Nothobranchius furzeri: one gene and its partners. The protein of the gene in region 1 binds, or shares a complex with, the protein of each later gene. Links are inferred from orthologs where the notes say so. Each region holds a gene or a part of one and is shown on either strand. Other genes may lie near its edges. The genes, in order: transmembrane protein 237B, b9d1, tmem231, cc2d2a and b9d2.

Evidence for each region.
Region 2: transmembrane protein 237B (region 1) and b9d1 share a complex: the UniProt entries of both Homo sapiens proteins name them as parts of the tectonic-like complex. The link is inferred for Nothobranchius furzeri from reciprocal best matches to the Homo sapiens genes TMEM237 and B9D1.
Region 3: transmembrane protein 237B (region 1) and tmem231 share a complex: the UniProt entries of both Homo sapiens proteins name them as parts of the tectonic-like complex. The link is inferred for Nothobranchius furzeri from reciprocal best matches to the Homo sapiens genes TMEM237 and TMEM231.
Region 4: transmembrane protein 237B (region 1) and cc2d2a share a complex: the UniProt entries of both Homo sapiens proteins name them as parts of the tectonic-like complex. The link is inferred for Nothobranchius furzeri from reciprocal best matches to the Homo sapiens genes TMEM237 and CC2D2A.
Region 5: transmembrane protein 237B (region 1) and b9d2 share a complex: the UniProt entries of both Homo sapiens proteins name them as parts of the tectonic-like complex. The link is inferred for Nothobranchius furzeri from reciprocal best matches to the Homo sapiens genes TMEM237 and B9D2.

Annotation. Positions count from the first base shown.
Region 1 is NC_091742.1:64,215,152-64,221,001, forward strand, and holds the end of transmembrane protein 237B, read right to left. Parts: intron 4,674-5,850; coding exon 4,642-4,673; intron 4,555-4,641; coding exon 4,541-4,554; intron 4,463-4,540; coding exon 4,394-4,462; intron 4,157-4,393; coding exon 4,028-4,156; intron 3,943-4,027; coding exon 3,849-3,942; intron 3,668-3,848; coding exon 3,513-3,667; intron 3,450-3,512; coding exon 3,317-3,449; intron 3,247-3,316; coding exon 3,055-3,246; intron 2,271-3,054; coding exon 2,197-2,270; intron 2,117-2,196; coding exon 2,029-2,116; intron 1,920-2,028; coding exon 1,798-1,919; intron 1,724-1,797; coding exon 1,659-1,723; 3' UTR 1,529-1,658; downstream 1-1,528. UniProt on the Homo sapiens protein: Component of the transition zone in primary cilia. Required for ciliogenesis.
Region 2 is NC_091752.1:49,446,555-49,453,586, reverse strand, and holds b9d1 (B9 domain-containing protein 1), read right to left. Parts: upstream 4,294-7,032; 5' UTR 4,105-4,293; coding exon 4,042-4,104; intron 3,918-4,041; coding exon 3,849-3,917; intron 2,844-3,848; coding exon 2,735-2,843; intron 2,659-2,734; coding exon 2,562-2,658; intron 2,472-2,561; coding exon 2,409-2,471; intron 1,732-2,408; coding exon 1,664-1,731; intron 1,592-1,663; coding exon 1,473-1,591; 3' UTR 1,015-1,472; downstream 1-1,014. UniProt on the Homo sapiens protein: Component of the tectonic-like complex, a complex localized at the transition zone of primary cilia and acting as a barrier that prevents diffusion of transmembrane proteins between the cilia and plasma membranes.
Region 3 is NC_091744.1:86,203,460-86,209,483, reverse strand, and holds the end of tmem231 (transmembrane protein 231), read right to left. Parts: intron 5,211-6,024; coding exon 5,044-5,210; intron 4,662-5,043; coding exon 4,533-4,661; intron 3,379-4,532; coding exon 3,235-3,378; intron 2,809-3,234; coding exon 2,727-2,808; intron 2,625-2,726; coding exon 2,519-2,624; intron 2,380-2,518; coding exon 2,217-2,379; 3' UTR 1,747-2,216; downstream 1-1,746. UniProt on the Homo sapiens protein: Transmembrane component of the tectonic-like complex, a complex localized at the transition zone of primary cilia and acting as a barrier that prevents diffusion of transmembrane proteins between the cilia and plasma membranes.
Region 4 is NC_091748.1:39,032,989-39,039,402, reverse strand, and holds part of cc2d2a (coiled-coil and C2 domain-containing protein 2A), read right to left. Parts: intron 6,264-6,414; coding exon 6,162-6,263; intron 6,094-6,161; coding exon 6,010-6,093; intron 5,934-6,009; coding exon 5,730-5,933; intron 5,644-5,729; coding exon 5,490-5,643; intron 5,407-5,489; coding exon 5,270-5,406; intron 5,178-5,269; coding exon 5,046-5,177; intron 4,685-5,045; coding exon 4,493-4,684; intron 4,409-4,492; coding exon 4,302-4,408; intron 4,168-4,301; coding exon 4,027-4,167; intron 3,859-4,026; coding exon 3,702-3,858; intron 3,584-3,701; coding exon 3,312-3,583; intron 3,166-3,311; coding exon 2,988-3,165; intron 2,584-2,987; coding exon 2,430-2,583; intron 992-2,429; coding exon 844-991; intron 1-843. UniProt on the Homo sapiens protein: Component of the tectonic-like complex, a complex localized at the transition zone of primary cilia and acting as a barrier that prevents diffusion of transmembrane proteins between the cilia and plasma membranes.
Region 5 is NC_091743.1:62,502,219-62,508,148, forward strand, and holds b9d2 (B9 domain-containing protein 2), read right to left. Parts: upstream 2,571-5,930; 5' UTR 2,133-2,570; coding exon 1,605-2,132; 3' UTR 1,449-1,604; downstream 1-1,448. Other genes in the region: poc1a (POC1 centriolar protein homolog A), read left to right, coding at 1,250-1,264, 2,912-2,996, 3,127-3,298, 3,499-3,678, 3,866-3,973, 4,863-4,978. UniProt on the Homo sapiens protein: Component of the tectonic-like complex, a complex localized at the transition zone of primary cilia and acting as a barrier that prevents diffusion of transmembrane proteins between the cilia and plasma membranes.

The DNA of each region.
Region 1 (5,850 bases):
TAATAATAATGATAATTTTTATTTTAAAATGTCTTTCATGACACCCAAGGACACTTTACAACAGTGGAGATAAAATCAAACAACATAAACATAGTACAAAAATATCTAAAACACTATTTAAATTTAAAAATAAAAGTAAAAAAAACTGTGAAATTTAACTAGGAGCTAAAGGCTTTTCAGAAGAGGTGGGGTTTTAGTTTTGATTTAAAAAGAGGGAGAGAATGAGTGGTGCAAAGGTCAGGGGCAAGAGAATTCCAGAGGTGGGGAGCAGAGCGGCTGAATGCTCTACTTCCCATGGTGACGAGGCGAGCTGAGGAGCAGAAGAGGAACGAAGTGAACGGACAGGAGTGGCGATTTGAAGGAGATAGGATATGTAGGATGGAGAAATGTTGTTGAGAGCTTTGAATGTGATGAGCAGAGTTTTGAAATTGACTCTCTGTTTGATGGGTAACCAATGAAGTTGTTGCAGAATGGGGGGGGGGGGGGGGGGGGGGGGACGAGTCCTAGTGTTGACACGTGCTGCAGTATTCTGTAGAAGCTGCAGTTTATGGAGGGATTTGCTGGGGAGACCAAACAGAAGTGAGTTTCAGTAATCTCTCCTGGATGTGGCGAGGCTGTGGACAAGGATATCAGTGGTGTGAGGGATAAGTGATGGACGGAGACGGGAGATGCTACGCAGGTGAAAATAGGCAGACCAGGTAATATTGATGATGTGAGTTTGAAAAGAAAGTGTGCTGTCGAAGATGACACCCTTAAGAGACCCTCATGTTAAGAAGAGACTTAACATGAGACGGAGTAACTGTTGAATTGTCAATAGTGATGGGGAAACTGTTTGGAGAGAGTATTAGGCGTGCCTACGAGGAGATCTTTAGTTCTAGAACTGTTGAGTTTGAGGAAATTGGAAGTGAACCAGGAATGAATTTCTTGGAGTCAGAGGGTCAGGGAGGAGGGCCATCGACAGATATATAGAGGAGGGTGCAAGTGAAGTTGTGGGTTTGGTTGAGCGGTAGAGCTGGGTGTCATTGGCGTGACAATGAAATTTAATTTTGTGTTTATGGAAGATGTAACCTAGAGGGAGGAGCTAAATTATGAAAAAAGGAGCCCCAGGACAGAGCCCTGGGGCACACCAACGATTGGATTTGAATGACTTCTGTTGAATCTCTAGATGACAGACTGCTGAGGAGGGTGCTGTGGGAAATAGTGTCAAGTGCTGCTGAGATCAAGGAGAACAGACAATACAAAATGCTCTATCGATCCCATTATGTTGATTTAAATATTTCATTATATCGATGAATGAGGGAAGCTGCATCTGTAGTTTCCTCATATGCCATGTGTTGACTTTAAAAGCTTTTATATTCTATTTTATATGAGACAGAACTACTTTACACTGGATGCATTTGACTCTCTTTTTTATTGAATGTTAAAATCTAAATATTATGTTTTATTTTTGTATTTGTATAGTGGTAATTGAGGAATTTAAATATTTTACTTCTATTTGATTTTGTTAGTTATAAAGAAACACTTGACGGTTTTGTTAAAATAACTTTATTTACAAAGAAACAACCACATTACAGAAACAACATATAACTCAACCAGAGAAATATGTGCAGGGCGCTAACAGACCTGCTACTGAAAGCAGATGGACAGAATTTCTTTTTTCAGGCAGTGATTTCTGACTTCTCTTCTGGCTTTGGAGGTTCAATATCCATGGACCTCAGATAACCTGAAGAATGAAAATTACATTAGATGTCTCCGTTTTAAGTTAGGGTACTTAGAGTTTGTGTGTTGGTTTCTCACCCTCAGTGTAATCTGTCTCAGAGCTGATGGCAATCAAGATCCAAGCCAACCCCCCCAGCAGAGCCACCACCAGGTTGATGGTTACCCATGGGTGAAGAATCTGGTGCTCTGATCCAGGAGACCTGCAGTACAGAATCTGGGTTCAAACCAGCAACCCAGCAATGACAGACTGAACTTCCTCCACGGCCCAGACGCCGAGCTGTAAACATGAGATTGCTGTGGTGGACTCACCATAACGTAGCGTTGACGGGCGAGTAGAGGTTGATTCGATCGCTGGTCATCTGCTGGCTCAGACAGAGGACCAGTGCTGAAAAATACACTGAAGAAAATAAAACAGAACGGTAAACCAAGCAGATATCAGATTGGTGAATAATCTATGAGGAAATGACTTGGACTCACAGAATGAAGCGAGAGCCACTGGACTGAGCGTCACAAACTCCCGCAGAGCCACGGAAACGTGGGCCAGATTCAGTCTGAGCACAACGACAAACAGAAGAAATATTCAAGCTTCGTTGTGTTTGGTGAGTAGATTTACGTATCCTGCGGTCAAATATGGCTACGTGAAAACAGACTCCTACCCCATTTCCTGCATTGGCCGTTGATAGAAAATAGACGAGGAAACGCTCGCATTAGAAAAGCCGGTCAGATCTACGTCACGCTGACAATGTGGCTGTTGTTGCTTTAGCGTCCCGGAGAAAGAAAAGCACATCTTGACTAGTAGAAGCTAACCATTAGCATTGGCAACTCCACAACACGGCAGAATTCCTCCAGTTATTTGTGGAGATGAAACATCAACGTTGCTGAGCAAACGGCGAAGAGCTGGGTTGCTGTTAACCAATCAGATGCGAGAGGTCCGAAAATGTTGAATGAAACTGAGCCGGCTAGGGGTGCACGCTCACGACCAAGAGGCGTTGCTTACAGCTGAAATCAGAGAAGCAGTGAGAGGGGCTTAAAGGTGTAATATATTTTCCTGCCACAAGACGGCACTGTCTGAGATAAAACACCAGGTTTTGCTTTGATGTTTCCTTATGTTTATTTTTTGTTTTCAAAAGGAGACTCAGGAAGTTTTTAGCTTTAGGTTTGTCCTGAAATCCTGAATATATTTTATGATCCTTTTGGTACGTTTGGCTCGATGGTTGTGGCTGATTTCACGAGAATTTCTACCAATCAAAATTCATTCATGTGTACTTGCCTTTTGCATTCCTGTAACATGTTTGAATTTTCTAAACATCCCCAGTGGGAGGACCTAACCCTAACCTGTCAAAGGCGGCCACGGTGCTGATGACCAGCAGCATGTAGAGCAGGGACTGGGACGGGTACGCCAGGTATTGGTACTGCTCCAGCAGGTTGGTGAGAGCTGTGAGCTGCTGCCCGGCCAGCATGTACACCACCACCACGTTCCACACGGTGTAGCCGGCCAGGAAGCCCTGACAATACACACCGAACACCCTGAAACACACTAGAACGTTACTCTACGTTTATGTTTATAATTTACTGTTAAGGAGACATTTTCCTTCACCTGAATCCTTCGTGGACTCTGACAGACACGTCTCTGGTGGTCCACAGAGGCTGCACCTGCTGGAAGTCGGCCATGTTGTCCGTTTGCTCACTGGTGGTTCTCCAGTCTGAGCGTTCTGCAGCCTGGAACCGCTCTGCACATAAACATGATGTTTAGCGAGAACAACACTTCAACGCTCGTTTTCCCAGACACTCACTGTTCCTCTCAATGAACACCTTCCCCACTGACTGGCTCTGAACCTGCGGGGCTGAGAACAAGGACTGCTGGGGGACTGGACTGGTGTCAGTGATGATGTCCTCTTCTTCAACTTCAAACTCATCAGGAAGTTGCGACTCAGCTACTTTTGATTTCCTGAAAGAGACGCATCTTTGCTGAGATCTGCTGTAACTTCGTGTTTTTGTTAAAACAGCTCTGCTTGAATTCTATCTAACTTGGAATTAAAATCTGACGCATCTGATCAGCTGACACCAAACACACTGATGCTCAAATGTGTAAACTGGGTACAGTTGACTGACTGCTTAGTAAAAAATACTTTTTTCTTTTGGGTTTTTTGATCATTTCCTCCCCATCTGTGGTCTGATCTCCAGCGTCTCCATCACCGAGTTCGGCCTGATCGTCCTCTAGATCTGAAACCCAGATGTAAAGTACATCTGAGCAATCACAGCGGGCGTCTGCAGGCGAAACTGCAGAACAGAAGTCTTCTGATCTGACCTATCGATGCAGCTTTCTTCTTCTTCCTTCTCCAGTGTGTTGACGTGTCTATCGTGGTTTCGAGGATCAACTGATCGTTGACCTGGGACGCCCGCCGGCTGCTGACTCCTCCCATCTCCACTGCTTGATCTGAGAAATAAGTCAAAGTCAAAAGACATTTTGCTAAAAATTCCAACACAAAGACATCTGTCTTGTTCTAAGATGATTCAATAATCACTCTACAGAAAATTGGCCTTAATAAGTAGTGAAAAAAATCCAACATGAAAATACGTCTTTAGGCAAACGTCAGATAAAAGTCTACCCCAAAGAAAAAGCTGTAAAATCGTTCAATGAACTGTTTATTCTCTCCTGATGTTTGCTTCTCACCTCCTTTCTCATTCATTCCATTCGTATCCTTCCTCATCTTCTTCTTCTTCCGTTTTGGGACTGGCAGATCTGTTAATATATTGAATATGAGTAAAATCCATCAAAATAAATAGTCATAAAATGTGTTTATAGGAACCTCTGACCCACCTGTTGTGTGTTGACTTCAAAAAAGAGACAAAAGAAAAAGTTTAGTTAAAGTTCTTTCTGCTGTTTCACAGAAACTTCCCAAACAAAAGCTGTTTTACTACCTGGGCATTGTGGGAAGGGCTCGTTGTCCTTTCTGCAGAAAACAAAGACACATTTTCATTCGTTTGACCTCAAAATGCCTTTGAACAAATAAATCATTCCAAAGTGACAAAAAGAAACCGTCAACACAGCCAGAATTTATTTGAAAATATTGCGTAATATGGCAGTTTCAGAATAGGACCGAGGACTGATCCCTGAGGTGCACCATCTGAGTCAGTAAGAATCGGTGTATTAAAAGCAGAGACACTTTATTAGTTTTATTTATTAAGCTTTTGTTTGTCATACACTGGAAAAAATGTGCACTGCCTCAACTTAAAAAACGTGTTCTGCCACACCTAATAATTTTGCATTGACTTGATGTAATAAATGTTTTTGTGTAACCTCAATTTTTTTACTTCACGTGAACTAAAGTTAGCGGCTGAAGCAAATCAATTATTACAGGATGTTCCAAATCAAAGAAATTAAGTTAGATTTTTTTTAGCTGATGTAAATATTTTACCAAATCAAACCAGACATTTTTAAGTTGAAGCTTTAGAATGTTGGAGGAAATGTAACTTTTTTAAGTTGTCCTTAATAAATAATTATAGTTACAGGCATAGGTCCAGGTGTGGCGCTGCGCCACGGCTACGAAATCCTCCCTCCCCCTCCCCGCCCAGCTCTAACGGGAGACACACGGCAGCGAAACATTCCGCGTGCATCCCTCCAACGGCAGCGTAACGTTCGCCCACCATAACGGGAGTTGCACGGAAGCAACACGGTACAGGCCAAAACAGAACAAATTATCTAAGAACTTGCCTACCCACAATGCACCTTGCCCATTGCAGCTCCTGCAGTGGGAGGGGTCATTACTATATTATAAGTAAAATGACATATATACATTTAAATTTGCACTCAGAACACATTTGTTTTATGTAAACATTTATTGTTTAACGAGCATGCCGTCATCCAAAATGATACCACTACATTTATTCAACATGCATAAAGCCCTTTAAAACGCAGAGGGAAAAAAATAAAACACACGTCTGCATTTTTAGCATGGTTACTTTTGTCCTGAATACATATTTTGTTCTTTTTTCTTGTTTCTTCTTGCCCGTTTTAATGTTGGTCTAAATGCACTAAAAGCTCTAGTTTGAGGTGAAAATGAATAATTGTGCTGCCAAAACTAAGTTTTGAGGTTCAAGGTAACTTTATTAATACCCACAGGTGAATTT
Region 2 (7,032 bases), on another chromosome or scaffold:
TGTTTCTGTGGCATGGCGCCCCCGTGTGGCTTGGTGCTTCGCTGCAGGACTGGATGTTTCCACCGCTTCTCTCAGGCACAAAGGAGGCTTTTTCTTTTTTTAGCTTGATATCTTGAATTAGTGGTTTGAACTATATTACTTAGAGAACAGCAAGCATTTTTAATCCCCACTAAAAATATGCAAAAAAAAAAAAATTGGATTCTGGGATTCTCGCTCATCTTTAATCAGACCTTAAACTCTAGTCGTATATTTATGGGAAACTTTATGCAGTTTATCTAAAAAGGAGTGGCTATGTTTCAGTAAAACGTGTCATATATTCACCGAGCTTTTATCAAAAGGACTAACTAAATGAATTTATGGGCTTTTTTTTGTTTTTGTTGGCATAAAATGACTCGTTTATTCCTTCATGTCTCGTCTAGTTGCCCTGTGTGTAGTACTGGGAGCAGGCTGCTTGGTTTTGTTTGTTTGTTTTTCATTTGTGCTAAACCCGATGGCATTACAACTGTATAATATAATTTATCATTTGTACTATTGTAACATACTGTTCTTCTGTATACCTTATTATTCTGTGTAATGGGTTTATTATTTTTGTAGGAAAAGTCATTGTGGTATTTTAACGGCACCTAAAACAAACGAGCGCGGGCAGCACCCTGTTGGACGAGGACGACTGTAGCTGCATCAGTTCAAAATAAATTGTGTTTCACTTCCTGTTTCAGTCTGCAACATTACTGGTCAGCACCACTCAGATTTACTTAGTCCAGGTGTGTCCAATCCTGGTCCTCGAGGGCCGGTGTCCAGCACATTTTTGTTTTAACCTGCTTCAACACACCTGATTTCAATCAGCAGGTGATAAACAGGCTTCTGCAGAGCCTGATGAGCTGCTGCACAGGTGATTCAACCAGCTAATCAAGCGGTTTGAATCAGAAAAACCACAAAACCTGCTGGTTACCGGCCCTCCAGGACCAGGATTGGACACCCCTGACTTAGTCAAATACAAATCAGCACAACTCAGAAAAGAGACGTTACATATTTAAAGGATGACAGGAATAACCACTGGATCAGCATTACATTACGACCACTGGCATGTTTGTCGAGAGCAGAAAACGACTAATGGTGCTGTGTGAGTTTATTTAGAGGTGTCTGGAAAAGCCGAGTTTAGTTTCATTTAGTGAAAAAACCTGAAATTCATGACTGATATGGTCAAAGTTTCATAGGAACCCGTTCCAGGTGACTCCATGTTTTCCCTACAGCTCAGTCAGATGCCAGCTTTAGGATCAATCACAGCATCATCCAGACTCCACCTTCCCATGTGACCTCCGTGAGAAGATAACTACAGTCAGAGCATCCATTTATCAGCCCCTCTAGTGTTCCTGTGTCGGTTTCTGACTGGTTGTTTTCCAAAAGGCGAGTCAGCTCAGAGTTCAGAGGTTGTGGCTGACTGCTCTAAATCCACGTGGAGGAGTTGGTGTGGCTCAGTCCGGCGTGGCAGAGTGGACGTGTGACGGTCCCACGTCGTAGCCCATCTTCTTCATGTCTTTACTCATGATGTGAAAGGAGACGGTTACAGAGCCTTGGGAACAAACTCTTGTCACTGAAACGGAAAAATATATATATGTTAAAAGTTTTATTCTAGAAAGGTAAAAGAAGAAAAAGCACCACTAACCTTCTCTGCCTTCACCCTGGGCCACGACCTTAGGGTCTGTGTACTCGGGCCGCCGCCCCAGCAGCCAGCTGAACAGAAATAGGATCTTTTAGCGTGTTTCTCTGAAACAGTTCACAGCTTCCTGAATAATTTGCATCCTTCACGAAGGCCGTGCTAATGGCTAGTCCCAGTTGCTGCTGTCCTAAAACGGCACAGGTCTGCTAAAGCTCACTGTGGTTCATCACATTCTTTACAAATGTAAACATCCCCAATAAACTAGCATTTCTGGTGCATCAGGGGTCAGGTCCTGCAGGAATTTATTCATATTTCTGCTAAAATGTCTATGTGATGAGAACCTGACAGCAGTGAAATGACCTCACATGGCGATCTATGACATTTAGAGGCCTGGATGTGGCTCATCAGTCCTCTAGGATGCACAGTCTGTTTCTCTGACCAGATAATTAGTAAGTTTTACACAAAACGCTCCTCAAAATGGCAAAAAACTCCATCAGATCTAATAATAATCACATTAATATTCAGTTTTCATGGTAAAAATGAAAAGAAAAACACTAAAAAGACTGAGAGCAACATCAAACAAGCCCGAGTGTGAATCTAAAGTATCCAAACGTGACAAAGATTAGTCAAAAATGAACCTTTAAAACGTGTGTTTGTGTTGGAAGCTTGCGTTCCACATGAGAGGAAGATGAAATATTTACTGTTCCTCTAAAGATCACGGGTTTCCAACAGCTAAGGAGACCGATCTCACCCTGTGAACTTCTGAAGTCTCCACGTGGGCTCGGGAACGAACATGGGGATGGATCTTTTATGTCTGACAAGTGAAAAACATTCAGATCTGTATCTTCAAACCGAAGTAACACATTCTGTATGCTTTTAGGTCAAACATGAAAGTAATACTGACTGTCCAGGTGTGAAGGGGATGTGCGTTGCTCCATAGCCTCTGACCACATCGTTACCAAACACATCTGGTCCGTACACACTCACCACCAGCTGAGGCCCTGGGGGACAAACGGCGTTAATCCTAAAGAGTCACACATGATGATGATGATGATGATGAAATTGTGATCTACTCACACCCAAAAGGATTTGTGCTCTTAAACGTCGTCTCCAGAGGAAAGTTCCAGACTAATCTCTGTGTCTGACTGTTTTTGCAGGTTATTTGAGTTATTCCTTCTTCCAGTCCCTGGAGAGTCACATTCGTTACAACACAACTCCATCCAGCCACCGCTGCATTAACTATCTATAAACCCTGTTCTGTATCCTTGAAAGTCACGTCTGACGTTATTGGGCAATACCATCGTCCGATATTGGCATTAAAATGTAACATCGTTGAGTTATCTTTTTTACTGTTTGAATGACACAACCTTTGCATAACATGCTCACATTATACATCAAACTCCTCAAACACATCAAAATATGGCTGATCTGAGGTTTCGTTTGTTACTGTCTGCATCTGTGTGGGTTCGTGTTCAAACGTAGTATTATCCGTAAAAAAAAGCATATTGAACATCTTTAACAATAAGGTTTATTGTTATGAACCCATCTGTAAACACAGCATCCACATATGTGGAAAAAGCCTTGAGATATCATTTTGTTTATATCTTACAAAATTGTATTATTACTCAAGGAAACGTAATTAATTATTTTTAATTTAGAGCTAAAAAAAATCCATTATCAGTTAGTATTTGCTTTAAATAATATATTTCTGAGGTCTTACAAATCCAGAACAGATAGATGAAAATTAAAAATGCACAATAAGTGCTCTCAGAACCCAAGACGTTTATTTTACATGAACGAAGAGTGGAAAAGAGACATCTTGCCCAATAGTGAGCCATATCTGATCACCCATATATTTCCTCTAGTTTCTATATTAAAACATTTCAGAAAGTTACATGTTTTTTACACTTTTGACGTCATGTGATAGTTATGTTTTTATAATATGCTAATAAATTGTTTATATAGCAGTCTGATCTGTGTAATACATACAGTCTAGTAGAAGTATACCGGCAAGAATCCGGCCAGTTTAGTCTCATTCTCACCCTTAATTCGTGCATAATAAACACTTAATGGCTTTAAAACGTTGAAAACATTAATAACATCACTATAATAAATGTATTAGTATTGTAAAGTGGTACCCAACAAGCATACTTCATGTTTCATCCTAAATGCTAATGGTTGTAATACTCACTGTGGTTGGAGCCCAGTCGTGGCCGTACACGTAACAATATTTGCAGTACAGATTGTCATGCTCTGGAAACTGAAATAAAAGACAAACATCACCATAAACAACCCGGAACATCCCGGATGAAGCACCAAACGAGCCATTGTTGCTAATGCTAACGCTAGCAGCTAAGCTAAAACTAGCTAAAAAGACGACTTACGTTCGCTCCCTCAATCTGCCCGTTCACCGTGAGGAGGAACACGCTCGGGTTGTTTGTTGCCATCGTGACTCCAGAGGTTCAAGAAAGTAAAAGTCTGTTAAATAAGTCGAGCTAATTTGGTCAGTCTGAAGCGATCCGAGGTTGTTGCTAAGGCAACGTTTACTCCTCCCTATGGCTACCGGTTTGGATAAAATTAAACGCAATTCTTATTGGTGATATTGGGCCATCACGTGTTAAAATTAATTTTAAATAGAGCAAAAAGTAATTCAAGAAATTCAGTCAAAATACTTATTTTTATAAACACCCGAAGTTTATTAAAAGGAGAAAAGAAGGCGGAGAAACAATATAAAAACTCTGGTTTAATTGTCTAGGCGTCCACTAGAGGGTAGCAAAATCAAATACACTGACTTTTAAAAATGCAGGTTCGTTCTCATTCACGACTGAAATCACTTCACGACCAAACATGTTTGAAAATCGTTTTTTAACCTTATTACCAGCCCTGAAAATGTTATTTCTCAACCATCGTTTTATTGTTTTGTAGGCCCAAAGGACTGCAATGTCTGTTCAACAATAACTGAAACAAAACAACATCCAAAACAAGAAGCCTAACTTAAAATTTCCAGCTAACTGGACACCTCCAGTGCTGTATATAAACATGGATGTCTGCTTTTCCTACTGCGCCACATGCTTGAAAATCAGAAATGAATGAAACCAAAAAATCTGCATTCCAAAGTATGTAAACCCCTCTGGCACGTGTGTCTAAATACTGTGTTTTGTTTCAGATGTGACAAAAACAGCTCTTTCTTTCAGCTGTTTCATACCCAGCAACCTTTTTTTTTTTGCTCTTCTCTCAGCTCTCTCCCACACAGTGCTTCCTGCTGTCTCCAGGGCCCACCCCAAGTCTTCTGACCTTTGCAGCTCCATAAACAGCAGCTCTTATTGCACCTGCTTCCTTTTATCTCCCATTTTGTCTGCCAAGCTCAGCACCTGTATCACTTTTTCACCTCCAGCTCTTTTTTGATCTTCGCGATCATATGGCAGGAACTCGATGCATTTAGAAATCTAGCCTAACCCTTTCTGACCACTTGGACCCATCTTCTGATGGCTACTTCCAGCAGGATCATGCACCATGTCACAAAGATTAGATAATCTCTAACTGGATCTGGAACATGACCATGGGTTCCAGTTACCAAATCTCAGTCTGGTCCAGAATCTTTGGGATGTGGTGGAATGGGAGATTCCCCTCATGGATGTAAAAGTGGGATGACATGGACCAGAATCTCTGAGGACGGGTTCCAACACCTTGTTGAATCTATGACAGGAAGACAGGGAAGGCAAGTTCTGAGAGCATAAGCCTAGAAAACTAGACAAACCAATGCGGTTCAAAAATATTTTACCCTGCAGGTCGGTCTACCCACACTCTGTGGCCTAAACAACTCTTGGTCAGGCCAATCAGTGATCCTTGTTTGGCTCAATTTAGTTCAGTTTACCAATACAGCGCCAAGAGTTGTCTCTGGGCACTTCACAAAGTAAACATTGCGATTAGGGATGGACAATATATCGGCATCAATATCAGTATCGGCCAATGTTAGTCATTTTTAACATATCAGTATCGGTTCGATAAATAAAAGCGAGCCGATATTAACAACCGATATTTTTTCCATCTCATCTCCATTTGTTTGCCTGTTTCAGAGGGTGAGGGGTGATGTGTGGTTGTTTAGTCATGTGCACAGTGGATGTAATCATATCAGAAGCGTACATGTGTGTGTTGTGTGTACATAATAACGTAAAATCAGCTTTAATCATTTTCATTCTATACAAAATCTGCTGATTTTAGAAGCATTAATGTCAGTTTTTCAGTATCGGCAAATATCGGTTATCGGCCATAACAGTGATCTTTATATCGGATATCGGTATCGGCCCAAACATTTCATATTGGTGCATCACTAATTCTGATTGAGTTCAAGTCATTATGTCTATTAATTAAATGTAAGGAAACCTAGCAGATTGCACCGAGTCACTGACTTGTGTGAGAGACTTTACAGCAAGCATGTAGCGACATTAGAAAGGAAAACTCCCCTCGCTTTAAATGGCTTTAGACAATTCTGATTTGGGCTTTTCTTTAACCGTTTTTACAAAACAATGCTGTCAATTTGCCACAACGCTGTGGCGGCATCTGGGAGCCGTAGGTTGTTCATAAGTGGTCAGACCGTGGCGGTAATGTGGTGCAATCGTGTTCTTTTTTACAAAAGATTATGTGATGGTGGCATAAACAGGGTACGAGGGAGACCCCTGTACTGCCATGGACTTCTGCTTAACTTGGACGAAACGTGCTTTTTATTGTGATCGAAGCCCGGCTCATTACGTTTTTTTGACAAGCCGCTCCTAATAGTGCCTGTCCCCCACAGCCCCCGTGCAGCCTCAGGTGATCTGACCACTAGCTCAAACGGAGAGAAGCCCCAGGATCGCTGCAGTGCTCCAGTTTTCAGTCTCAGCTCATTTTGCTCGTATTTACTTTCATTTTCAAAAATAGTTGCCAGCCGGAGCTCGGCAGTAACTCCCCACGTCACCATGACGCCTCCCTCTGTTGCGCCAAGGTGCAATCGCCGTTTATGAGGCAGACAATTACCGCAATATTACTACCAAGCAAAGTGGAAAGAATGATGCACAATTCGCACAATGCAATGGCGCGTTCATAAGACACACCGTTGTGGTAAGATTACGCCGATTTGGGGGGTCTTGCAAAAAGGGCTTTTGACACGTAAGCAGATAGAGGTGTTTAAGTACTTTATTTAAAAAATGTATCTGTTTGCTTCTTCTTTGATGGTATTTGTCGGACTGCTCTGTTGACTGACATCCGTAGCGTTGAGGACGTCGTGTTGTTCATTGTCATGCAGAGACAGTTTGAAAGACAACTGCAGATTTCGCCCCACGACCGAGCTCCGTCTATGGGTCGTGGCCTTCCTACATATTTACATGTATAGGATGGCT
Region 3 (6,024 bases), on another chromosome or scaffold:
TGGTATGAATCTGAGACTTGATGAACATCCTGCAGGAGATGGGTCACGTGGTTTTTGTTGTGGAAAAATAAGGATTGAATGAAAAGGATGCACCTGGTTCCTGCAAGGAGACTCATATCCTGTCCTCCACTGCTCTGTATACAAGTTCAAAGCACAAGGAAAAGCAGGATGGAGAGAGCTGGGACGTTTCCCTGAAGCGCTGATCTGGAATCAGTTTAAAACAGTCAGTGGTTTATTCAAAAAGGAAACAAAGCTGTCATTTAGACTAGATGCTGTGCATAACAATGTGTGAAAGCACTGTTATCAGGTAAGATAATCTTTTTTTATTGCTGCTATAAAACTTTATCATCTCAGCAACTGAAGGTTTTGTAAAGAAGCTCTCGAGTTGCTGTCGAGATTATAAATCTCACAAGCTAAGGTGATCTGCGGAGTAAACCATGTGTTTTTGTTTCCATATGAAGTTTGTGAACAGGAACGTTTCCTGTAAAATCTGGTGGATTAACACAAGTGAGATTTCCAGACCTCGACAAGAACTTGACGTTGCCATGTTGCTTTATTGGTCGTGCTAAAATCACAAGTTATGGAGCACATTTTCAAATCTTAATGCAAAAATTCTTCATTTTAAGAGAAATTTGTGTATGTTTTCAACAAGTTAACTAGTTTATTGGCAGTGTCTAAATATCACATGAGCCAAAATGGATGCTGATTGGTAAATATTAGATGACTTTTCCAGATTTATTAGTTTTGTTTTAAGAGTGGGAATCTGTAGAAAGCTACTTAGAGAATTAAATACCTTCAGGTAAAAAAACCTGCAAACTACCTACTGAGAGGTGTGTGTAAAATGAGAATGAGACTTAGCTGCACAAGCAGGAGGGATCAAGGTGGTTACTGGCTCAAAGATAAGCAAATAAAGTTCTAAACAAATTTGCTTTTGAGACTTTCTCAAAAAGATTTTGCAAGTTGGGGTTGTCTAAAGTACAGTAGATACACATTTTTCTAAAATGTTGAAGCTGTTGTAATTAGATGGGTGTAACTCTTGTAGCTGTCCCACCCTGAACCAGAGCTGGGACGTTTCAGTGATCTAACACATGTGGAACCGGACCCAAACACACCCTCACATCCCAGAAACAAACATGCATTTATACGCTGCCAAGCACCTCCTGAGAGGAAATAAATTCTAGTTTCTAAAACACAGCAGATTACAATATCCCCCGTTCTGAATGTGCATCATCCGTTTGCCGCCATAAACAGAATGTGTCAGGATTCCAGAAGACAAAGTAGAGAACGGAAATTAGCTGAATCAAGTCTTTAGTCTGCTGCATGAATTTTTTAAGAATCCACAACACTCTCAAAATGAAAACCAGAGCTGTCATCTTCACAGATTTATTTTATTTTAGGAGAGGCAGAGGATTATAGGATTTGGCTGCATTTACTTAGGCCTCAGTTCTCAACAGTCTCTTTCATTCTGCTTCTTAACAACCCCCACACCATAATGCTGCCACCACTGTGTTCACTATAGGGATAAGCCTGCTTACATGTTTGAAGTTTTGTCTGTGAAAATTAGTTTTTACATTATTTGACCACTGAATCTTTTTCATCAAGCACAAACACGTGATTAAAAACTAATCCTAGGAAAGAAGTTGTGCTTTAACAGCTTTAATACGAGAACTCCTATTTTACTCATGATAGTTCCAAACGACTCATTCCTTTCACACGTTGTTTAATAAATACCCAGTAAAGCTATAATAAGTTTAAAAAGTCTTTATTTTTGTCAAAACCAGTTTCAAATGTGTAAAAAAAAACAACAATATAGAAAATATATCCTTATGTTCTTTACAACTGAGCCGCTAAAATCAAACAAAATTTTTTTAATGATTTAAAAATAAGAAAAAAGTTGAAAAATCTACATAAGATGAAAAAAGTTACTAAACTGTTGAAACTCACGTAATTTAACATAGGATTTGTAATATCTACGATGTGTAAGTTGTTTTAATGTGACAAAGAAGAACAGTTTGTTCCCCGATGCAGATCAGGATGTATATGATCTTATAACAACATCTTTTAGAATGCTTAAGCCTACAGAATAAACAGATTAGACAATAACATATAGCTGAATCAACAACGAGAAGTCCAAAGAACAAACATTACAGACATGAAGCAAATTGACAAAAGGTGTCATCTGGTCAAAACCTAAAAGATAAACTTTCAGCTCTGCATCACGACAGGTGAGGTTTTCCTACAGGTATGGGTACGGTTGTTACAACCTGGTTCTGAAAGACAAATCTCTGGATGCGTTTGAAGACCCACAAGAAGATGAGGAGAACGCTGACATACTGGATCCAAGCAAACTTGATGGTTTCCCAGAAGCCAGGACGATAAGTGGAGGGAGGCAGTTAAGAAAACGTTAGAAGAATTATAACTCTGAGTCATGGTTTATGTAATCCGTCTCCTAAAGACGAAAAGGTAAATCAGTCACAAGACAACACCTTTTGGTGATCTTTTAGATATGAAAGGATATCTGATGAGCTCCAGCGGGTAGCGGATTTCAGCGTTAAGCTCAAAAGGTGAACCAGCAGCATGTCCTATAGTCCACACTGGCATTGGACAAGACAGCACAGTTGTTACTAAATAAAAAAGAAAAGACAATTATAAAATTATAAATACTTCATTATACAAAACCCGAGACCGTGGGCGTCGGCAGAGAATAAATCCCTCTGCTTACTTACCGTTTCTCTCCTGGTAGCTCCTGATAATGTTGCTGAGGTCATAGGAACTTGCAAAGGGGCTGGTGCCATCGATCACTGACACCTTTAGGTCAGTAAACACAAAAAATAATACTTTAACATATTAATTTAACATAGGGCTGCACAGTGGAGCAGTGGCTAGCGCTGTTGCCTTGCAGCAGGTCCTGGGTTCAAATCCCAACCTGAGGTCTTTCTGCATGGAGCTTGCATGTTCTCCCTGTGCATGTGTGGTGTCTCTGCGTACTCTGGCTTCCTCCCACAGTCTAAAAACACGACTGTCACGCTGATTGGTTTTCTAAACTGCCCGCAGGTGTGTGTGCATGGTTGTTTGTCCTGTGATGGACTGGAAACCTGTCCAGGGTGTACCCCGCCTACTTGCCCAGAGACTGCTGGAGATAGGCACCAGCCCCCCCACGACCCCGCATGGACAAGCGGGTATAGACAATGGATGGATAAATTAATATAAATAAGGAATAAACACTATTCTCACATTGTAGATGTTGTACAGGCCCCGATGAGGAAGCGGTGTCCTCTGCTGAAGCCTCAGGTCTCCACTGATGAACAGTTTAACTCCAGGTACAGGTGAGGAGTGCTGCACATAAGCCAGACTCTGCATCACCACTGTCGACATCCGCTAGCAGAAACCAGAGAAATAGAAATGCTCTGACTATTAAATTAAACAACAATAATTTAAAGGGACTTTTCGGACTTTTGAATTTTAATGCCTGCGATTGCCCCCTCAGGCCAAAAGCATAACAGCAGCTTCAGTAGTAGGCTCGTACACGAGGCGTGCACGCTGTACGTGCACACTCCTTAACGAAAATAACAGCTGAGACAGTCCCGTGTGTGTGTGTGTAGGTGTGTGTGTGTGGCCCGGAGGACAAAAGAACACACAGATAATTAATTAAATAATTTGGTTCTGTACCTTTCTCTTCAGCACAGCCGACAAAGGTTTATGACGGGTCAGTCCTCCTGCATGCTCAGATCATTCCCTTCCCTTGCTTGAAAAATTGTTCCAAAATGAAAGTTGAACCCACATCTTTTTTATCTGTGAATTCAATGCCGTTCAGCGAGTCTCAAATAAAAATTTGGGCATCTTACTGTAAAAAATATACCATTAATGTAAAAAATAAACTCTAAATAAACTATGTTCACATCCAGAATCAAACCCAGGTCTTCTGCACGAGAGTCAGATATCTTACAAGGTGAGCTACACTCTAGTAACATTCAGACTGTCTAACATTTATATCCTTGATGACAGCTGAAACAACGTTCAAAGAACGGTTCGGAGTGAAAATGGCTATTTTGTTGCTAATTAGCAGGAAATATCTAGAAGAAAGTTCTACAGAAAGTAGCTAAGGGTCCTCAGAAATGTAGCTAGCTTTGTCACTAGGCGTTAGGAACAGCGACAAAGTGGCACTGCCTCTCTCTCTGCTGCTAAAGCTACGGATAGCAAACGCTACGGGCGATGCCTGAGCGTGAACGCGCATGAAGCAGCCTGCTCGACCCGAGCATCTCTCTTTTTCTGTGATTTTACATAAAAACAGGCAATCACAGTAAAAATGCCAGGGCTCATTCTACAGGACCAGGGCATTGCAGGAGAATGTATGAAGAAGACATTTATTATTTCTATACATGTTTTGGCTGTCACACTTCCATAATGTCCCTTTAATGCAAAGACGAAGTGGCTGAAATATTTCTTCAAAGCACGTTGGACACAAATAAAAATCCTCTTCCTCTGCATGGAAAGAGCTCTTTGTGAGACGGCTACTGGAGTGGGATACATACAAAGAGCTGGTAGCTGAAGGTGAGCAGCAGCTGAATGCTGTAAACTTGTTCATCAGGTTTCAGCGGAAGCTGCAGTTGCAGGTTCAAACGGTCCAGTTTCCCATCCTGGTTCAGGTCCTCCTCTCTCACCTTTATGAAAACAAAACACAATTTTCATTTACAAAACAAAAATACATAATTACAAAAGACAATCTTGCAGAGGCACAAGAGACTCGTGGAAATGAATGATCCTCCTTTAGAGTAAAAATGTGTTTTAGCTTTTTCTGGTTTCTTTATGTTTTCACTTTCACAAATATTAAGCACCTATTAAGTCTTTTATGTGAATTTTCTGTGTTCTGACTCACTGCTGGCTGGCTGAGCACCAGCATGTTTTTTACTTCAACAGTATTCATCCTGCTCTGGTTGGCAGTCAGTCTCAGCCTTTTAGGTGTAAAATATGAAATCAAAGCTGCAGAGATTTTACCAGTGATTCAGAAATAACTTAAGGGAGAGGAACGTTGAGTTTTCTTACAGAGATAGTGGGGATACGTAGGTTGGTCCCAAGCATGTTGTTAAGGAAAGGGAAAGTGCTCCAGGCAACATAATGTCCTTGAGCACTGGTTGCTGCTAACAGCAAAGTCTCGTACTGGAACCTCACAACCGGCTGTTCTTCGTAAATGCTTCGTTTTATCCAGAAACCTGAAATGAGAAGAAACTAAAGCAGTGAACTCTATCTGCTCAGAGCGTCAGATACAGTTCCACTCAACTCCTTTCTCCACCTCATCTTCTCGTGAACGTCCACTAAGCTAATTCACACGGGCAATAACAGCTCTTCCATGAAAATGTCTTTGACATCCAAAATAATCATTTTCAACATGGTCAAATATTTTAAACGTTGTTTTTTTTAGGTAAATGACAATTGGAAACAGTCAGTGGTGTGTTAAAAAAAGAAACAAAGCTGTCATTTAGACTAGATGCTGTAAAACAATGTGTGAAAGCACTGTTATCAGGTAAGTTACTCTTTTATTTTTATTGCTGCTATAAAACTTTATCATCTCAGCAACTGAAGGTTTTGTAAAGAAGCTCTCGAGTTGTTGTCGAGATTATAAATCTCACAAGCTAAGGTGATCTGCGGAGTAAACCATGTGTTTTTGTTTCCATATTAAGTTTGTGAACAGGAACGTTTCCTGTAAAATCTGGTGGATTAACACAAGTGAGATTTCCAGACATTGACAAGAACTTGACGTTGCCATGTTGCTTTATTGGTCGTGCTAAAATCACAAGTTATGGAGCACATTTTCAAATCTTAATGCAAAAAATTCTTAATTTTAAGAGAAATTTGTGTATGTTTTCAATAAGTGAACTAGTTTATTGGCAGTGTCTAAATATCACATGAGCCAAAATGGATGCTGATTGGTAAATATTAGATGAGTTTTCCAGATTTATTAGTTTTGTTTTGCAACAGGGTTAAGAGTGGGAATCTGTAGAAAGCTACTTGGAGAATTAAATACCT
Region 4 (6,414 bases), on another chromosome or scaffold:
TCTTGAAGCTTCCATACGTCTTTCTGAGAGGAGCTGAAGGCATGTGTAAATATCAGTAACTAAAGCAGGAAACACACGTCCTCCTGAAACCTGGGCCGTGTAACTGGGTTGTTTCATCTGCAGATGAAATATTTTATGGCTCCACATTTCATCATTTTCCAACTCCAACATCTTTATACCACATGGTGTTCATAGTGTTTGCTAGTTGCTGTACTTCTAGACTAAATGCTGTCTTACAGGAAAACACAACAGATTTATGAATAATAATAATAATAATAATAATAATAATGCATTGAACTTATATAGCGCTTTTCTAGACACCCAAAGACGCTTTCACACACTCTCACATTCACACACTGCTAGTGATGGTAAGCTACTTGTAGCCACAGCCGCCCTGGGGAGGTCTGACAGAGGCGAGGCTGCCATTTGGCGCCGTCGGCCCCTCTGACCACCACTAACACAGGCAAGTTGGGTGAAGTGTCTTGCCCAAGGACTCAACAGCAGGATACCCCTGGCGGGAGCTGGAATCGAACCCATGACCCTCCGATCATGAGGCAACCCGCTCTGCCACCTGAGCTACTGCTGCCCCAAATCTGAATGCAGCCTTTCCATTATTATTCTATTCTCTGCAGTCCAAAAATCACAGTAAGTACAGTCAAACACACGTGTGTGTATAGCAGCGTTTCTGATGCATGCACTCACACACTCAGTAGATCAGTGTAATTATGACTACGTACATCTGTGCAGAAAAACTTTGATCACACCTGTGATCGTCAGAGATCCCAGTTTAAGAACCCCACTGGTAAAGAATCTAAACCAGTGGATCTCTCCTAGAGAGACTACCTGTGTGCAGCACCTAGCTGCTGGGAAACAGGAGGAGCGCGCGGTACATCATCTTCCCCGATCCCCCAGGAAACGCAGCATGCCAGCTTCCCAGAGGTCAGCAGGATCACTTTGTTGCTTCCATCAGGCTCAAAGGACAGCGGCACATCTGAGGAGGCGCAGAGCAAGGAAGGACAAGGAGGGTCATGAAAATGTCCCATGCCCCCATAAAATCCAGTTTATACTTGGACAGAGACTAGAGTTGAGATTAAAACCTTAAAGGGACAGCTCAGAGGGTCTCAAGTGAGATTTCGTGAAAAGGATAAACAGTTGGCATATGTCCTGTTAAAGGTAACTATTTCAGTTTTCAGGAACACAGGTCAGTTCAGATCGATGAGCTAACAGCTAGTATGAGTAGGGCCAATTACAAAGTGTTTGTGTCATCTTTAAACAACACTAATCTAAAACACTAGCAGCTCATGTAAGTGCTATTTCATAAACATTTACATCACCATATATTTTATATTAAACAGCTATTCACATCAAACTCAGCGGTGACTCTAAAACTAAGGAGACCAGTTTCTTCCTGGCTTGAATTTATGACATTTCAGCCAGAAAATACTTCAAATGTGAAAAATGATGGCATGGTAAAGGTTATAAAATAGCATCTGCATAAACTGCTGTGAAGTTTTAGGAACGTTTGTAAATGTTTAGTCAAAACCAATCTCTGTTACTCCTAACTGAAGCTGTTCATAGCTACAAGTAAGACGTCGATCGATCGTAACATTTCAACAAAACCTCGCTTTAAGAGACTTGAACTACTGCTTAGTTCAATCATTTCTGACAGTCCTAAACTATAAATCTGCAAGTTTTAAGATCTTTCAGACTCTGCCTTCATTTTTGAAAGTTCTCATTCAATCATTTGTTCTATAAATCTGCCGAGGCCTACAGTATGGATTAAAATGTTGTATGCTGTTTAGTGTAGAAGCTGTGTGTGTGTGTGGGTGGGTGGCGCAGCAGGATTTGGAGACTTACTCATTAATATTCATGATATGCCAACATCTTGCCTCTGATTGGCTAACAGTAACTTGACTCTTCTGCTGCCTTCAATCCTTCTTCTTACTTGGGTAACAAATGATGATTTCTCTCCACAAACAACACAAGCCTGAAGAGGTTCTGCCACGTTGTGAAGATGCTAATGATTAGCTTCTACTAGCTGACATGTGCTCTGCTCTCTCCTGGATGCTAAATCAATACAGCTTTTCTGTGGGTGGTGGCAAGCCAAGAAGGGCGAGGCAGTTTTCCCCTGTGACGTAGATCTGTACGGCTTTACCACACAGTCTGTTTTCTATCGGCAGAGTAATGCAGGAAATAGGGGTAGAAACTATTTTCATGATCAGCTTGCATGTGAAACTCAGCATGACAGACTGTTTCCAAAAACAAGTATTATAGTTTCTCAGTGAACGAGAACTTTAAGGACACTGCACACCATAGTTGACTGAAAATGATCCTGTTAGTAAATCTTAACAGGAACACTTGTTGGGAACAGGAATGTTACACGGCACTGTACATATGCGAGTGAAGCAGAAATGAACAACAGTATTTACCACTTCCTACTCCTTCATGATCAAACATGACTCTTTGGTTGCTGCTAAACTCAAACGTCTCCACAGGAGCGCTGCCTGTAACCACTGAGGGTTCTGGTACCGGAACAAACACCTGAGCCAGGAGGGAGGAGGATGATCCAATCTGCTCAAACACCTGCACACAACACACACACGCACACACACACACACACACACACACACACACACACACACACACACACACACACACACACACACACACACACACACACACGCAGACACACACACACACACACACACACACACACACACACACACACACACACACACACACGCACACACACACACACGCAGACACACACACACACACACACACACACACACACACGCAGACACACACACACACACACGCACACACACACACACACACACACACACACACACACACACGCACACACACACACACACACACACACACACACACACACACACACACACACACACACAGAACTGATGAGAAACAGACTGCAGCTGCAGCAGTAACAACCTTGCGGTGCATTCAGAGTTCCTCTACTCCACCTGCAGATTCATGCTCTGGGGACAGTTAAGGATCTTGAGGTGGAACAGCTGGGTGAACTGCACCCTGAAGTCAGATCTCAGGGAGCAGCTGCCTGTTCGGGAAACTTCCTTGTCATTGTACAGGACTTTGATGAAAAGCGATCGCTTGGAAACATCTTCTCTTCGAGCAACCTCAGCCCTTAAACGAGAGAGCATAACAAACAGGATAAAAGCATGTAAAGTACTACAATAAGCAGTCTTCTCATGCCATCGACTAACATTTCCATAAATACATGAAACGTGCCAGTTAAAGGGGTGTTGCAGTTTGTGATGAATACGGTTTACCTGGGACAGAGTTCACTGGGTGTGATGCTTCCTGATGCAGACAGCTCTGGGGTCAGAATGACCTCTCCTGGCTTCCTGCGTATCCTCGAGGCTTTTTCTCTCACCCATTGCTCTATGGAGTCAAAGTCCGGCCTCTCGGGGGGTTCTGGTTTAGGAGGACCTTCCTCAAAGGGTCCTTCTGATTCGCTCCCTTCCTGGTCTTGATCTTCCTCGTCTGTATCATCCTGTGTCTGACCTCGTTTCTTCTTCTTTTTCTTCTTCTTTTTGGCTTTCTGAAAACATGGGATATAAAAATATGTGCAAAAATAAATATGCAATCCTACAAGAACAAGGCTGGCCTTATTTTACTCCACGGTGTTTGTGATGGTTCCAGCAGCAGTAGTCAGACACCTGCTTCTTCCTCCAGCGCTTCCACTCCTCCTGCTGTTTCTTGTACTCTGCCAGCTTCTTCTGGTAGTCCTCCTCATGCTCTGCCTCTATCTCCAAAGCTTCTGTCAGGATTTCCTCCTCGTACATGTGCTCATCTGCAGCCAGGTCCACGTTCTCTCTGAAGCATCAAGAAACAAAGCAGCACATTTATGGTATGAATAGAAAACCTTTCAGACTGCTGCAATAAGTATAATTAACATAATTCTGTTAAGATTTATAATAGAAAACTGAAGGAAATTTCTAAATGATGTTTTCAGTCAGGGTTGGCTGGAACAGGAGAGCTTACCTTCTGAGGTAGAGCTTGTATGGTGTGTTAGTAAATGTCTGAAATTCTCTCAGAGCTTTGATCTCCTTCCACACTTTGATGATGTTCTTTAGCAGAGTTCTGTCCTTCTCCTGCTCCATATCTCTCAGGTGTCGAGTATTCCTGGAACGTTCATGGGAAACTCTGCCAACTCTGTCCAACATGTTTCTGGACATATTAGGATCTAATGGGCCACTCCCATCGGTCCCGGGTCGGCCCGGTACCGATGGGAGTGGCCCATAAATGAGCCACCTCACCTCACTTCAAGGCTGTACTCAAAAATCCTCCTCTGAAGGGCCTGAGGGAGGTCCTGATCACCGTGGACCTTCACCACATTCCTCAAAGCATTCCTTAAACCATTCAACTAAAGCGGACACAAACACTCAGCTGTGTCAAAGCATTGTGGTACGGCCGTGGTAACCTCTCCACAGTATCTGGTGAAGTCTACCTTGTCAGTGAGGTGTCCTGAGAGATTACTCTGCCTCCTGGTGAGATACTGGTCGAACAGGTGAGCTAGACGAGCTGCCAGCACGTGTTCACGGCTGAAGAGAGGGTGATGGGAGAAGATCAGCCCCGACACATTGACATCGATCTGGTAGTCCCCCGTGGGGTCTGATGAACCGTACATGGACTTCAGCGGCTGAGAGACAGCAGAGATAACAACATTATCCAGCATTCGCTGCACAACAAAACTCTCAGCATTTGTTTTTAACTGCATGTCTGTTTGTGTGTTTATGATTAAAGATGAGATCAATTAAACTACAGAAGCATTTGTATATTAAAAGATTCTGAATGCGTTGCATTTTCTCTAAATCTGCCCTTTGTCCCTGTCCGTTAGCAAGAATGATCTAATTACAGCCTGCCAGTACAGCGGATGGACTCCTATTATTCCTACTTATAGGAATAAATCTTTACTAAAGGGAAGCCTAATAAAAACAGCAAAAATGAAAAATCTTCCTTTTATTAACCCTGCGGTTTCATTTCTTGGTAACTAAAACTACCCTCCGGTAAACAGTTTGCAGTGCAGGATGAAGGTCCTCCTCCATGTCAGCCAGTGGCGGTCGCGTGGACGATTCTTTCACAGGGTCAGGCAGAGTGATGATCCTCCCATCATCTCCAAACCACTTCCTTCCCTTCAGGAGAAACAAACATCACAAAAACACGTTTGAATATTAACATCAAAATGAGGACAGTTATTTGTTTGAGCAGAGCAGCAAGCTGACACCTCGTCCATTTTCAAAAGGCGGTTCTCTAGAATGTTCTCATTGGTCAGAGATATGGCGGGCCTCTTTCCCACGTAGAGACCCTCCTCCTCCAGGAAGCGAGGCTTCATGTTTTCAGGCAGTTTGACCGAAGCTGGCACTGCAACACAACGAATCATAAAGACACGGTTCCAGGTAACGAGCAGCCGGCTGTACGTCACCAGTGTGAATCACATGTTTTACCAGTTCGAAAGCTCGGTGTGAACAGTTCACTCTCCTGCTGAATACGTGTGTGGTAACTGACATATTCAGCCTTCTTCACTACCAGGAAGTCTTGAGGAGAATGATCAATGACAAACAAGTCATCTGCATTTTGAACCAGGTGAGCTTCATCGCTCTTAAGCAGGTGCAGAAAACCAGAGTGAATGTTTTAGAACAAGTAAAAATAATCATCTGAGCACAATCCTCTCACTGATGTGGTACCTGGTTTACAGTTTCATCTTGATCATCTTCCCCTCCGGCATCTTCTTCCACCTCAGCTGCCTTTCCTTCCTCCTCATCTCTGGCCTCCTCTGCAGATTTTCTTCGTATTTGCCGTTTTCTGCTGAGCCTCTCATTCGGACGATCAGGCTCAAAGTTGAAAGTAAAGAAATTGTATGACTCCTCAGCCGTTGGGAGGTCTCTCACCTGCACGTACAATATTAATGGTAATTATAAAACTCCATACAAGTGTTTTTGTACAGTCTGAATCTAAGTGTCTTACTCTTCTTGCAGCCTCTCTGAACTTGATCCGGTTGTGAAGAACCGGAGGGTCATCATGTCTTCCTGCACCGACTGGATCAACCTGCTAAATTAAATAATAATTCATCTCTCCAGCTATTTTGGAAACCAGCGTTCTTTTGTGGTTGACCTCACCCTTGTGTCAAACCTCGTCACGGTGTCTCTGTCTCTGAGCTGTTGGAGTCGACTGGGTGACTGTACAGAAGCCTCTAGCTGTTGAAGCTTCTCTCCTTTAGACTGGAACACAAGATCCAGGCGTGATGTGTCAAAAGGGTCCCTTGCACATGTAGCGACATGAATGGCCTCATTTGTGACCCAAAGGTCACACACACTTCCCCAGCTGGGTCACGCTGTCCTGGCTGAACTTCAGTCCACAGCTTATCCATCA
Region 5 (5,930 bases), on another chromosome or scaffold:
TTAATAGTATGTCACAACATTCTAAAAACAGTCATGACAACATACAAGGTATAAAAACACAAAACACATATTCATTCAGTGATGTCACAGCAACATGATCAAAGTTACGGAGTTATGAAACCATTTGTGGTGTGTCTTGTCATGTGACACACTAACCTTACAGATGGAGCAGTCTAAAGGGAGATTGAACTTAAGTCAATGTTTATGTTGAGATGGTCAACAGAGACGGTTACATCCTGAAAAAGTTGCAATCAAAAAACATAATTTGTATTGGCTCTAAAAATTTGTGGTTTTTATCTTTTTGTTTTTGTGTTTGTTTCATTTAAAACAAGCTGAAGAATACGAAACAAGATATTTTACAGTTCAGTAAGACCATCTGACCTATATTCAGTCAGGTTACCTCTCTATAAGCTATGGCAACATGAGGCATATTTACTAAAGTGATGCTCTCAGCTGTATTACCCAGCAGACAACAAATTGAGAGGCTAAAAAGACTCATGTCTTGATGGTTTACTGTTGAATTGTGTATATTATTATGTGTTAAGTCATATTTTAAACACAAATAAGCAGAAGAAAGGGCCTTGAAGGAAGTAAAATGTTCCTACAGCTCATAATGGAAAGATTTTTTACTTTTTATGTGCATGTATCTCCGCATATTCCAATTTCTTAGGAGTGCATAGAAAATATTTTATACTGTAACTTCTGTATTGGGCTATTTTGTTATTTTAGAATTAAGCTACTGACTTCTGCAAAAAGACCATCCAATTGTTTAATTTGGATGTTTTTTCCCCGTCAATGCAAAAAAAAAAAAAAAAACATTTGTTCCAAAACATCACTGCACCGCTACTGACATCTTGTGGTCATATTTGGTTACTACACTCGTGTGCCCCTTGGTCATTTGGATTTGTTGTGCAAAAGAAAATAACTGCTTGTACAATCCGGAACTTCTTATTTTGTTATTCATCGTTTTTACATTTGATTGAAGTCTTTTTTCGACACAAACGTCCTTTAATGTCCAGCGTCCCCTTTAAGGACTCTGGCCAACAGCTCAGCGCCCAATCACGGCGCGTAAACTGAACTCTGTTGTTAGCAGCTAGCATTAGAAAAAACAATTCCAATTACCGGAGCGATATTTTCCTCCCTCTGTTCATTTCAAAACCCACAGTTGAGAACAATTGTATTTCGGTCATAATAGCCAAAGCAGCAACGAGCCTCTTTACTCGGGTGTACGTGCTAAATACCGGGAAAAATGACTTCTGCACTGGTGAGTTTGGCTAGCACTTGTTACTGTAGCAACTGAGGAAGTTCGTGTCTGATTTGTAGTAGACTACTTGTTTTGGTTAACGCACACACACACACACACATGTTCAAATATTCATAACGTTACAAATATGAAATATTAGGTATAGTTGGATTGATGGTAAACGGTAGATGAATAAGAAACCAACTTCAATGATAAGTGTTTATTTATAGCTGTATTTCAGGTGTAAAAACATCAGCATAGAAATGTACAAAACTTTGCCGTGTGTAATTTTTCAAAGGCATTTGCGACAAAACAAACTTTTTATAAGAAAACAATCAATACAACATTCTTATTTGACGTCTCAGCTCTCGACGCCATGTTTGTCAAAGTGTCTTATGATGACGCCCAGCTCCAGATTCACAGTGCCCATGGCCTCGGTGTGCAGTCTGTATCTGTCCGCTCCACTGTAAATCAGATCCGGGTTGCGGAGCTGGGGGCCTCCGCCGACAAATATTCGTGCTAGCTGCTCTTGCCAGGAGCCGAGCGGCCTCCATGTCACACAGCTTATGCGGTGATGTCCGGGGCTGGAGGGAACGTGGCAGTACCCGTATCCGTACAGCTGGTAGCGGCCGAATGAGTCCTGGTGCCACACTTGCAGATGAAGCTTCGGCCAGCCCTGGAGACCTTTGGTCGCATAGTGCAGATCAATTGGGTGGCTCCAGTAAGCCATTTCTCCGCTGTGGGGGGAATCCACCTGAGTCTGACCCTCCTTCAGCCCCGAGAGAAGACGCCATGCTCCCCCCGTATGAACTTCCCATTTGCAAAATAGGCTTTTTTGAGGAAACCCGCTGGCCCCGATGATCTGTCCTATAATGTGAAGCTCTGCCATTTCACAGCTGTCCGCTTTAACCAGAACATGCGACACACGGAGCCCGCTTTTATCAAAGGCTACAGAGCAACAAACGCAGCTCACGTCTCCTTGGTAACCCAGCCTGCCATAGTGTGCTCTTAATACAGCACTCCCTGAGCAGAGTCTGTCAGGCAGCACTTCCTGTCTAGGGCTGGTTCTATTTTTGAAGGCAAATGAGACACATTTTTATATCTTCTTGCTAAAAAAATATTACTTAACCTTTAATTTAGTAAACTAATTACGAATTTTAACCAATTTAATTAATGACGTGAAGCAGCTGTTACATAAATTACAATCATACCTGAAAGACTGAATAAAGGGTATACAAGAACCGCTGGTTTACTTTTTTCCGAATAACTATTTAACAGCGCAAGTTCAACAAGATGGCAAATGAAGTGCACTGTACTTTTTAATGTATTGTTTACATCTCAATGGTGCTTTATTTTTTAAGGTTATAAATTCTAAAAAGCTATTTATTTAGATATGCTTTCTCCTGCTTTTCCTGATGACTGTTCATCTTGCAACTTTTATATAACTCAATGGATAACTAAAGAAAGTAAAATTTATTTATATAGAACCTATTGTAGAAAAGAAAATCATGAAGTTCTTCAATGAAAATTACATAAAAAATAAAACATAAAATACAAAAAAGAAGAAAATATCATTTAATAACAAAAGTGGTCATAAAACAAATGAAAAAATAATTTCCAAACATAAACTTGTAAAATAATTGAAAATCTCTGTTGATTTCATCATAGTCTGATCCAACCCTAGAGAGAAATTTCAAGGGTCACAGGGACGTCGTGACAAGTGTGGACTTCAGCCGCAACATGAAACAAATTGGTAATATTATTATTATTTGATCTGAGCCTTTGTCCGTCTATATATTCACCTGTTATCCAGTTTGTTGTGTGCACATTGTAGTTAATACCAATCTCTTGCTTCAACCAGCTTGTGCTTCCTCCTTTCTCAGTCACAGGCTCTATGGATTCTTGTGTGATGATCTGGAACTTGAAGCCTCAGATGAGAGCTTATCGTTTCGATGGACACAGAGAAGCTGTAAACTCTGTCCAGTTTTCTCCATCTGGTCACCTTGTGGCCTCGGCCTCTAGAGACAAAACTGTACGTCTCTGGGTGCCCAGCATGTAAGTTTATACGTAGCAGCATTTTATGTTGTTTTCTTCTCATCAAGTTTCTCCAGAAATTATCACTCAAGACAAAGCTGTGGATTCCTAAAGGCAAAAGAACAAGATCTGCTGATTACTCTAATTTCATCATACCAGCGCCCTGAATAAACAGTGTGTTTGTCTGCTTTATGTATGAATAATACCTTTTGTGTTTGCAGGAAGGCTGATTCAACTGAATTCAGGGCTCACACTGCCACTGTGCGTTGTGTTAACTTCTCCGGTGATGGACAGAGCCTGGTCACAGCGTCTAATGACAAAACAATCAAAGTGTGGACGGTCCACAGGCAGAAGTTCCTCTTCTCTCTTAACCAGCACATCAACTGGGTCCGCTGTGCCAAGTATGAAACACACACACTCCCATTTAATACCACACCATGCAAGTTTCCCTGTGATATTTGTAATGATGAGTAAAGTGTTGTACAAGTGTTTAAAAAATTTAATATGTGATGTCAAGTTTTCACCTTTTTTTTTTACACTTTTCCTCTCAAATGTTTAATTTTAAAATTTTAATGTGCTTTTCTCCAGGTTTTCTCCAGATGATCGTTTAATTGTGTCCTGCAGTGATGATAGAACTATAAAGCTATGGGACAAGAACAGCAGAGAGTGCATTCATTCTTTCTTTGAACATGCTGGGTGAGCTCGAGATGTATAAAAAATGTATTGATGAGTGCACAAGAAAGAGTAGAAGTATGAAGATATGTCTAATATTTTTATCTGAAGTGTATTTAAAGGTAAATCTTACAGTATTGAATTTTAGCTCATTTAAAGTTTGACTATGGAACATGGACAATCTGGCAAACTCTGGTGTTCAAAGGTGGTATTGCAACAACAGGACACATTTTCCAGCTGCTGGGATGTTGGTTCACTGCTGACACGTTCCAGCACCAAGTTCAGAGACAAATCATACAGGATCAGAACTGATTTCTACTAATAAGTTTATTTTACAACAGTATTTACCGTTAGAACATCTTCTGGGCTCAGATTCAGCTGCTTGACTTGTCAAGTCTGCCATTTTACACCGTCCCAACCTCACCTTGCTGAGTGGACTTTTTAGCGCAACGGTGCCCTCTAGTGGCTGGTAGATGTAAACATAAATGCAATGTCGTGCCGACAGAATCAAAATTGGGTTATTTTTCTTTTTATGTATAGCTTTAAAAGGAGAAACTGTACACCCATTCTGCACACCTCTGAACACCCCGCAGAGGAATTAAATATTTTTTAAATATAGCTTTTTATTAAAATATTCAATATTCTAACTTTAATAAGTTTTCTGTTCTTATCTTGTACACAGAGTAGCAAAGTTTCTGTTCTTTTTTACCATGTTTGCTGATGCCGAAACTGTCAGTAAACAAGGTAAAAAAAAAACAGAAAATTTTCTACTCTGTGTACAAGATAAGAACAGAAAAACTATGGAACTAGAACATAACAAGGAACTTCAGCTCATGTTTAAAAGTGTGGAACTTGTTCAGATGCATTTTAAATTATATGTTTGGATCTAATTGCTTTCTCGTTTTTCCCATAGTTTTGCAAACTATGTGGACTTTCATCCCAGTGGAACTTGCATTGCTGCAGCGAGCACCGACCACTCTGTGAAGGTGTGGGACATCAGATCCCATAAGATGCTTCAGCACTACCCTGGTAACAAAAGATAAAAGACATTTAATTATCTTTAAAGCAGCAGTTTGGAGTTTTCGCCCTTAGCCTGAATTATGTATGATTTTTTTTTTTTTAGAAATGTGTAAATGTGATAGTCTTACCCTTTTCTGTAAGATATTTAGGCAATGCATTAGTTTTTCATTTTGCTAACACCCTCATCACAAAAAGCCCCATGCAGTTTGGCTTGAGCGTCGATCAGCATTAGCTAATAGTGTTAGACAGCCACTTCAGGGTTTCCCCCAGAAAATGAGTTAAGCCTGGCAGATTCGGCCGTCAGAGGCGGGGGGTTGCACACGTTCTTCTGCTGTTTCTCACCAGTATCAGCTGATGGACAGCTCTAGTTTCGTTGCGCCGTTCATGTTAGCGGACACGGTAGGGTCGGGGAGGGGGGCGGGGCATGACGCTTAGCCTGGCGGGCCGCCAGGCTTTTAAAGCACTGGGGGAAACCCTGCACTTATGTACAGATGCCAATCACAGAGCGTTGTGTGCATTTGCAGAAGTACCTAGACTGATGCAGAGTTGGCGACATTTCTTATTGACAAGTAAATATTTAATATATAGAAAATAATAAACAATATAACATGAGAATAATAATAATAGGAAAACAATGTGCTTTAGCTGAAGAGGGGCTTAACGTGCAATACTGTTTTCTGTGTCTAGATGATGCCCCCTGAGAAAAGACTGGATTTCTGTTTTAAAAAACAAGTTCACAGTGACATCGTATTTTTACTTGTTATTATTGAAATAACTCAGTTTCATATGCAAGCTAAATGGAAAAATAGCCTTTTACCCCTATTTCCTGCGTTAGCCGCTTATAGATAATAGACTCAGAAACGCTCGGATTACAAAAGCCACTTGCCCATCTAGGCTCACAACAGGAAAGGCTGTTGTTGGTTTAGCATCAAAGAGCGAGCATAGCACAGTTTTATTAGCA